Linked DNA regions of Rattus norvegicus. The protein of the gene in region 2 interacts with the protein of the main gene of each other region in a pairwise test. Links are inferred from orthologs where the notes say so. Each region holds a gene or a part of one and is shown on either strand. Other genes may lie near its edges.

Evidence for each region.
Region 1: the proteins of Bptf (region 2) and Maz interact in a two-hybrid assay, tested with the Homo sapiens proteins (2 studies listed by BioGRID). The link is inferred for Rattus norvegicus from reciprocal best matches to the Homo sapiens genes BPTF and MAZ.

Annotation. Positions count from the first base shown.
Region 1 is NC_086019.1:191,061,981-191,066,302, reverse strand, and holds the start of Maz (myc-associated zinc finger protein), read left to right. Parts: upstream 1-1,413; 5' UTR 1,414-1,723; coding exon 1,724-1,915; intron 1,916-1,988; coding exon 1,989-2,839; intron 2,840-3,219; coding exon 3,220-3,283; intron 3,284-3,418; coding exon of another isoform or gene 3,419-3,514; exon of another isoform or gene 3,515-3,547; coding exon 3,548-3,719; exon of another isoform or gene 3,720-3,844; intron 3,845-4,322. Other genes in the region: kinesin-like protein KIF22, read left to right, coding at 1-62, 142-279. UniProt on the Homo sapiens protein: Transcriptional regulator, potentially with dual roles in transcription initiation and termination.
Region 2 is NC_086028.1:92,579,446-92,583,798, reverse strand, and holds the start of Bptf (bromodomain PHD finger transcription factor), read left to right. Parts: upstream 1-1,385; 5' UTR 1,386-1,604; coding exon 1,605-2,247; intron 2,248-4,353. UniProt on the Homo sapiens protein: Regulatory subunit of the ATP-dependent NURF-1 and NURF-5 ISWI chromatin remodeling complexes, which form ordered nucleosome arrays on chromatin and facilitate access to DNA during DNA-templated processes such as DNA replication, transcription, and repair.

The DNA.
Region 1 (4,322 bases), on a different chromosome or scaffold from region 2:
TTGGCCAGAAGAAGGCCCAGCTCATTGTGGGCTGGAGGGAGCTGCATGGCCCCTTTAATGAGGTAACGGCCTAGGAAGACAGGTGCACTGAGGTGTCCCCGTTCTTTGTCCACCTCCTTCCTATTGTTGCTGTCCCTCTAGGTGGAGGACCTGGAACAGGTGGAAGGCATCTCTGGGAAGCAGGTAGAGTCTTTCCTGAAGGTAAGGCCACCTTTGCCCTTTCTCTACCGGCCTGCATGTTGTAATTCCACCCCAGACCACCTTCGGCTGTTACATTAACGCACTTTCCTCTTCTTTACAGGCGAATCTCTTGAGCTTGGCTGCCAGCCAGCACAGTGGTCCCTCTTGACTACCAGCTCTTGACACTACCTTTTTCTTTTAAAAATTCTTGTATAGTGATGTTGTGTAAATACAGCTTTTATTCCGTGCTTGAGCCTGATTTTTGATGGCAGGGCTGTAGGGAGAACCTATAACTACCTTGGGGGTCAGGATCAAGCTCTGCGGGACACCCATTGGCGCCATGTTTGGGGAACCCCCAAACTAGGCCAAGATTGTAAATAAAACACTGGATTGGGGAGGGGACGGTGGCCTAGAAGAATCAAAAAGCTGAAGCGGAAAGCTTAAGCACAGCGACCGTTAAGCGAGCACGCGCTTTGAGTTAGCCCCGCCCCGCTGTACTCCCTCGGCGCGCTCCCCATTCTCCCGCTCAGCGACGACGTCCGTGTTATGTGCGCGTGCGCGCGAAATAACGGCCGCTGGCGGAGGGAAGTGGGGGGTGGAATCGTTCAAGTGGGGGAAGAGAAGCCGCCTAGTCTCCCGCGCGCCCACCACCTGCACCATCGCCAGCCAATCAGCAACCGTCTCGGGGGTCTCGCGCTCGGGGCGGCTAGGGCTGCTGGGTGGCTACCCCGTCCCTCCGCCCTCTAGAGTCCCTCCTGTACTTCCCCCTCCCGCTGGCCCCGCGCGCACTCGCGCTCGCGCCCGCTCCAGCCTCTTGTGTGTCCTCGCGCCCCCCGCCCGCCCTCCGGCGCGCAGTGTGCTCCGCTCCCCCACCCTCCTCCCCCCTCCCTCCTTGCGCGCCTCCTCCCCGGGTCCCCCCTCCCCCACCGCTGCCTCCTCCCGCCCCGGGGTGAGCGCGAGCCACCTCCCTCCTCCCTCCGCCATGGATCCCAGCAACTGGAGCAGCTTCATCTTCCAGGTAACAACCCCCGCCCCCCCGCCCCTGCCCCCCCTCCCACACCCCCTCCTGCCCGCCCTCCCTCCTGTCCCACACCCCCTCCGCGCGCCCGGTGCGCGCGCAGCTGTCCCCCTCCCTCCCTCGCGCCCTCCCCCGCCCTCCCCGAGGCGCCGGCTGGGCGCGCGCGCGCGGCGGGGGCCGAAGCTGCTCCCTCGCTCCCCCCACCCCGCCCCGCCAGGCTCCAACTGCCGCCACCACCGCCGCCGCCGCCCGGGCCCCCGCCCCCGGCCCCGGCCCTCGGCCCCGCGGGGCCTCTCGCCCCCACCCAGGGGGCGTCGCCTCCGCCGCCGCGCTCCGCGCCCCACAAGACGCCCTCCTTCCCTCCCTCCCGCCGGCCGGGGTGCGCGGGCGGCGGGGCGGCCCTCGGGCCATGCGTTCGGCTCGGCCCAACCCGGCCGGCCGGGGGCGGCGCCCCGAGCCCGGGCCCCGCGCGGCCCGTGCCCCCGGCTCCCGCTGAGCACCGGGGGCCCCACTGTGGCCGAGGCCATGTTCCCCGTGTTCCCTTGCACGCTGCTGGCCCCCCCCTTCCCCGTGCTGGGCCTGGACTCCCGGGGGGTGGGCGGCCTCATGAACTCCTTCCCGCCACCTCAGGGTCACGCCCAGAACCCCCTGCAGGTCGGGGCTGAGCTCCAGTCCCGCTTCTTTGCCTCCCAGGGCTGCGCCCAGAGTCCATTCCAGGTGAGTAGGGGCCGGGCCGGGCGGGCAGGCGCCGACCAGCGACCGCGGCCCACACGGCGCCTTGTCTCCGCAGGCCGCGCCAGCGCCCCCACCCACGCCCCAGGCCCCGGCGGCCGAGCCCCTCCAAGTGGACTTGCTCCCGGTTCTCGCCGCCGCGCAAGAATCAGCCGCAGCGGCTGCAGCTGCTGCGGCTGCTGCCGCTGCAGTGGTTACTGCACCCCCGGCCCCTGCTGCCGCCTCCACAGTGGACACAGCGGCCCTGAAGCAGCCTCCGGCGCCTCCTCCACCACCCCCTGCCGTATCCGCACCAGCCGCCGAGGCCGCGCCCCCCGCCGCGGCTGCCACTATCGCCGCAGCGGCTGCCACCGCTGTTGTCGCCCCAACCTCGACGGTCGCTGTGGCCCCGGTTGCATCTGTCTTGGAGAAGAAGACAAAGAGCAAGGGGCCCTACATTTGCGCTTTGTGCGCCAAGGAGTTCAAGAACGGCTACAACCTCCGAAGGCACGAAGCCATCCACACAGGAGCCAAGGCTGGCCGGGTCCCCTCGGGTGCTATGAAGATGCCCACGATGGTGCCCCTGAGCCTCTTGAGCGTCCCCCAGCTGAGCGGGGCCAGCGGGGGTGGGGGAGAAGCCGGGGCTGGCGGCGGCACGGCCGCGGTGGCGGCTGGTGGTGTTGTGACCACGACTGCCTCTGGAAAGCGCATCCGGAAGAATCACGCCTGTGAGATGTGCGGCAAGGCCTTCCGCGACGTCTACCACCTGAACCGACATAAGCTGTCGCATTCGGACGAGAAGCCCTACCAGTGCCCTGTGTGCCAGCAGCGCTTCAAGCGCAAGGACCGCATGAGTTACCACGTGCGCTCACATGACGGCGCTGTGCACAAGCCCTACAACTGCTCCCACTGTGGCAAGAGCTTCTCCCGGTGTGCAGGGGCCTCGGCTGCCCACTAGGCCGATGGTGGGGGGAGGGCAACAAGGTGGCCTATCTTTGGCTGGTGGGGAGGCGGCTCCCGTTCCTGGGGACAGGCACCACTCCCAGGGAGGAGGGAAGTGAGCCTCGTGGTTATTAGGAACAGGGGGTGGTACTTTTGTAGAAGAGGTGGGTCTTTGGGCTGAAGGAAAGTAGCCTCTGGGCAGAAGAGGAATCTTGGTTTGAGAGCTCTCCTGCCTGAGGACTGAAGCTGTGGGGAAACGCTGGGACTTTGGAAAGGAATTTTGGAGGAACCTAAGTAGATTTGAGGCACACCTCACCTTGTAGCCTTAGCCCTAACACACGCCCCCTCCCACCTCAACATGTCCTTAGGCCGGATCACCTCAACAGTCACGTCAGACAAGTGCACTCTACAGAGCGGCCCTTCAAATGTGAGGTAGGAAGCCCGCTTCCTCCTGTCCTGGTTTTCATGATTTTGATCCTCATTGTAGCTGTGTGGGTTCAGCCTCTCAGACCCCCTTTTTCTCTCTCTTTTTGCCTCTTCACTCCATTTTCACATTTCTTCTTCAAGGCCTGGTCATCTCACGCCCATTTCCTACAGATCAAAGATCCCCAAGGCTCTGATCCCTTTATCTTGCTCCCTTCTCTCTACTCCCCGAAGCTTTAACTCTCCTGTGACCCCCCACACCCTCCCCCCCAGAAATGTGAGGCAGCTTTTGCTACGAAGGATCGACTCCGAGCGCACACAGTACGACACGAGGAGAAGGTGCCATGTCATGTGTGTGGCAAGATGCTGAGCTCAGCTTATATTTCGGACCACATGAAGGTGCACAGCCAGGGCCCTCACCATGTCTGTGAGCTCTGCAACAAAGGTACATGCTAAGGGATGCTAGGAGGGCAGGGATAAAGTGGGGTTGGGTGGGCACAGAGCTGTTGGTTTTTTCACTGATTTGGGTCAAGGGTGCTGCAGCCAAGAGCTCGTGGCGTGTAGAGAACCCTTTAAGAAGCAAGCACAACACCATTGGAAGCAACTGAACATCACTAAATTAAGTACCATGGCTCACAGGAGGCTGTCCACCAGAAACTCAGCCTCTTGGGTGTGCTTGGGGAAAATGAAGTGGGACGCGGTTGCTTTGAGAAAGAAATCACCAAAAAACCTGTCCCCAGGGTTTCAACTTTGCAGCCACAAGTTCTTGTCTCCAACTCTTGGGGCAGGTGGAGTAGATGAGCATGGGTGTAACAAGCCCTACCCAGTAACAGAACCTGTTTTCAATGTGGTTATTTACTAAAGGAGCTGAGACTGGGGCACTGGATGGGGGGACACAGCCGTCTCTACTGAGAGTCAGCCCTTTAGAAAGCTAGGCAACAGCGTGCTGTCATGGGGGAAGGTCTCTGTAGGTATTAAGGGTTAAGAAATGGGTACCACTCGGAACAGGCCCCAAGCTCAGGGAAAGGCTATGTTCCACTGGAGTAGT
Region 2 (4,353 bases):
TATTTGGGGCCTGCATTCCTATAGCTGTAGTCTTTGAACAAAACTTTAGCCTTTGTTTACCAAAGAATTCATAGGGCTCACTTTCTTTACTTTGGTACCACTCTCAGAGATCAACCCAAGTAAAGTGAATCAGTGATAAATTAGTAGGCAATTAGTACTTGCTTTTTTTTTAAAAAAAAAAAAAGGTTTATTTATTATTTCATGTATGCGAGTACACTACAGCTGTTTTCAGACACACCAGAAGAGGGCATCAGATCTCATAACAGATGGCTATGAACCACCACATGGTTGCTGGGATCTGAACTCAGGAGCGCTGGAAGAGCAGGCAGTCCTCTTAACCACTGAGCCATCTCTCCTACCCTAATACTTGGTTTTCAATTTTCAGGTTTATTCACTGAACCATATTGTAATTAGCCATTTGGTGGGCTGAATCATATTAACTATTTTTCTTCAAATCACTTTTTTGGTACTCACATCTATCAATAAGCACTCATATAGGTTCCTAAAACCTTTCTTTTCTTTCCAGAGGCCACACCGAGAACACTGTCTTGAGCCACCTCAATTTGGCGACATTTGGTGCATGTGTCTGGAATTTTATCTTGGTGACTAGCTCCCTAGGCCAAACCAAGACTGGTAGTTTGTCAAGTAGACATTATTTCCAGGTAACACAAACACATAACTTTGAGAAGCCAATTATAGACAGGACACCATCCTTCCTATCACAAGTTCTGGCTGAGGCGTGGAAGTTCCTAGCTGGGAAGTGGGAAAGGTGCCTGGAGGCCCGCAAGGAACCATGCTCTGGAATTTAACCCTGGCTGGTAGGGTGGGGACTCCAGGAAAGTCAGTGAAACCACCCTGGGGGTGTGGCTCCAGGCGTGCAATCCTGGAACAACTTCAGGCCCCTCTAGATCTAAGCCTTTGGGAGTTCTGTATTGGGACTGACTTATCTCCAGCTCCTGTCCCTGAGTGGGTGGCTTTGCGTGGCCACTGTCCTCAGTCTCTAGGACGCGCCTCCCCGCGAGAACCCCCTCTCCGCTTTTTCTGCATCAATTTCCCCAAAAGAACCAGTGACTTGGGGGAAGCTCGTTTTCCGGCCCGGATTTGGACAGACACGCATCGAGGTCTCCCTGAGCTCCAGTTGGTGGGGGGGTCGTCTCTCAGGAGGAGACACCAGACTGGGGGGACAGACACCCCACGCCACCCATCTCGCCCCTGCGCCGCCGCCGTCCAGCCGCGCAGGGGCGCTCCGGGGCCTCCCGGCCCCCGCCGCGCCGCTCCCGCGCTCCCCCTAGCGGCCGCCGCGCTGCCTCGCTCTGTCCCAGGCTCGTCGGGCGGCGCAGCTCACGTGACCGCGCTCCGGGCCTGCGGCCGCTGTCGGTTCCCCCAGTCACCGAGCGAGAGGGAAGAAACAAGATGGCGGCTGCAGGCGATCCGGAGCGGGGCCCCGGCAATTCGGACTGAGCCTTCTCTCTCCACCCCGCCGCTGCCGGGCCGCGCCCCTCCCGCCCGGGCCCCGGCGCCCTCCCCTCCCCCTCGGCCCCGGCGCCCCCCGGCGCCCCTCCCCCACCCCTTCCGCTCCCCCCCCCTCAAGCCGCGGCTCCGACATGAGGGGCCGGCGGGGCAGGCCGCCCAAGCAGCCCGCGGCTCCTGCTGCGGAGCGCTGCGCCCCGGCCCCGCCGCCGCCGCCGCCGCCACCACCGCCACCACCACCGCCGCCGCCGCCGCCGCCCGCCTCCGGACCCATCGGGGGGCTGCGCTCGCGGCACCGCGGCAGCAGTCGGGGCAGGTGGGCCGCCGCCCAGGCTGAGGTGGCGCCCAAGACCCGGCTGAGCTCGCCCAGGGGGGGCGGCCGCAGGAAGCAGCCACCGCCGCCGCCGGCCTCCGCCAGCAGCGCCAGCGGCCCGGGCCGGGGGGGCCGAGGAGGCGGGGGCGGCAGGACGGGGGGCGGGGGCGGCCACCTGGCCCGGACCACCTCGGCCCGCCGTGCCGTCAACAAAGTGGTGTACGATGACCACGAGAGCGAGGACGACGATGAGGAGGAGGACATGGTCTCGGAGGAGGACGAAGAGGAGGAGGAGGATGGCGACGCCGAGGAGACCCAGGATTCCGAGGACGACGAGGAAGATGACATGGAAGAAGACGACGATGACTCCGATTATCCGGAGGAGATGGAAGACGACGACGACGACGCTAGTTACTGCACGGAGAGCAGCTTCAGGAGCCATAGTACATACAGCAGCACTCCAGGTACCCACCCAGGCCGCCTGGAGACTCCTTCCCCACCTCCTCCCCTCCCCCTGGCTTGCTCCCTCTCGAGTGCAGTGCATCCTGCTTCCTAGCTCCCCCCACTCCCGGCCTGTCCCCCACGCGGAGGCCACGGCGCGTCTAGTGACAAAAAAAAAAAAAAGAAAAAGACAAAACAAAACTAGATTTGCAAGAGGAAAGAGGCGCATTGTTCAAAATGGAGATTGCATTGTTGCAGTTTGCAGGCCACACACTCGTTCGCTCTTCTTCTCCCCCCCTCCCTCTCTTTCCTCTTCAAAATTTGTGCCAAGTGCGGTGTCTCCACCAGTCAGGATTGAAACTTTGGCACACACGTATCCATTGAGCTCGTCTTTCTCTCCTTGTTTTGGTATGAGTGTTTTATTTATTTATTTTGCAATGAAAGAAGCCTCCTGCTTTGCAAACCGTTGCATGTCTAATACGTTTTGTTGTAGATTTGAAAGAAAAATGACCTGGTCCTTAAAAGTGAGAATTTAGATCGTGGCAGCACACATAGACGTGCTTCCTTTCCTATCCCCTAGTTATATAGTTTGGTAACTGTTTTGGGGGAAGGGTTGTTTTTCGGTGAGCAGGGAGCTTCCTGGGGTCCTGAGCGCTTGTTTGTGTTCTTCGAGTGAGCCCTCGTGGTCGCGTGCAACAGTTGCTGGTAAATGGCTGATTGAAGAGCAAAGCAGAGAACTAGACCAAACCAAATTTGTCAATCCTTCCGATTTAAAATTACTTTGGTTAAGTTCCAAATAAAAGTTTAACACCACGGGGGCCGTGTGTCCTAACCAGTTTGATCTTGGCTTTGCGTGGGAGATGCAGTTTCGTGGCACCTGTTGCCGAAGATGTGTGGTTGATCATCTAGGCGCAATTGCCAAAGATGAACTTTTTGAAGTCACGGTCTAGAAGTGTCAGCTTGAACCTGACAGGACTTTTTCTTGCTGTTCTGTTTCTGAGGAAAAAGCCCTACCTGGATCAGCAGTGGGTTTCATCAGTAGTGGTGAATTCTCGGATGTTTTTTCGCATTATTTCTTGAGGTTGGCCCTGAGATGTGTGTCTTGTTCAAGTAAAAGACACACATGCAATTGCTCCTTTGTATTAAATGAATAGTTATGGGACTGGGGGGGGGTGGTCCTTAACTTGTAGCAACAGACTGTCAGGCTTTTTTTTTTTTATGTCTCTATTAACCAGGATTCATAAAATTAAGGTCTAATTGTAAGGACATTTGCAGAGTAAATGAGGACATAGGGTCTTTCTAGGAGAGTCTGTCTTACTGTTTTCAGGGACGATGAGGGTACTAGGAGTGCTTAAATGTAAGTGTTTTCGTTTTTTATAAGTTCCTAACTGCTGCAAGTATGAGAATTAAGCCAGATTAGATTGGTTAACACCAAGTGAAAAAAGCCAATTTCTTTTGCCTGACTGTAAGAAGGTTGCCTATTTTATGGGCTTGGAGGGAGGCTATCTTTTTTTTTTTAATAAAGATTTATTTATTGTATATAAGTACACTGTAGCTGTCTTCAGACACATCAGAAGAGGGCATCAGATCCCATTACAGATGGTTATGAGCCACCATGTGGTTGCTGGGATTTGAACTCAGGACCTTAGGAAGAGCAGTCAGTGCTCTTAACCACTGAACCATCTCTCCAGCCCGGGAGGCCATTTTTTAGCAAGTTTAATTTCTTGCTTACTTAGTTTAGAGTGTCTTTTATAGGTTTTTACTGTAAGAAACAACATGTTGGGCATCTGTATCAAGAGCTCAGAATCGAACTGAAGACTGCCCACAGCAGTGGGGGAAGTTAGTTTTTGGGTTAGGACTCAGGCATTTTGGCTGGGCAGTTAAGCTAACTTTTAACTCCTTGAAGACCTGGCCAATAGTACCGATCAGTTGAAGGCCATTAAAATGCTGAATTAAATTGCAATTTGTGGTTAAAGATCCTTTTTAAACAACCATGTAAAATTTGGGAAATTTTTTTTTGTAAATAGGTTTTTATTTTGTTTTGTTTTGTTTTGAGAGACAGGGTCTCTACATAGCCCTGGCTGTTCTAGTACTCACTATATAGATAGATCAGGCTGGCTTTGAACTCA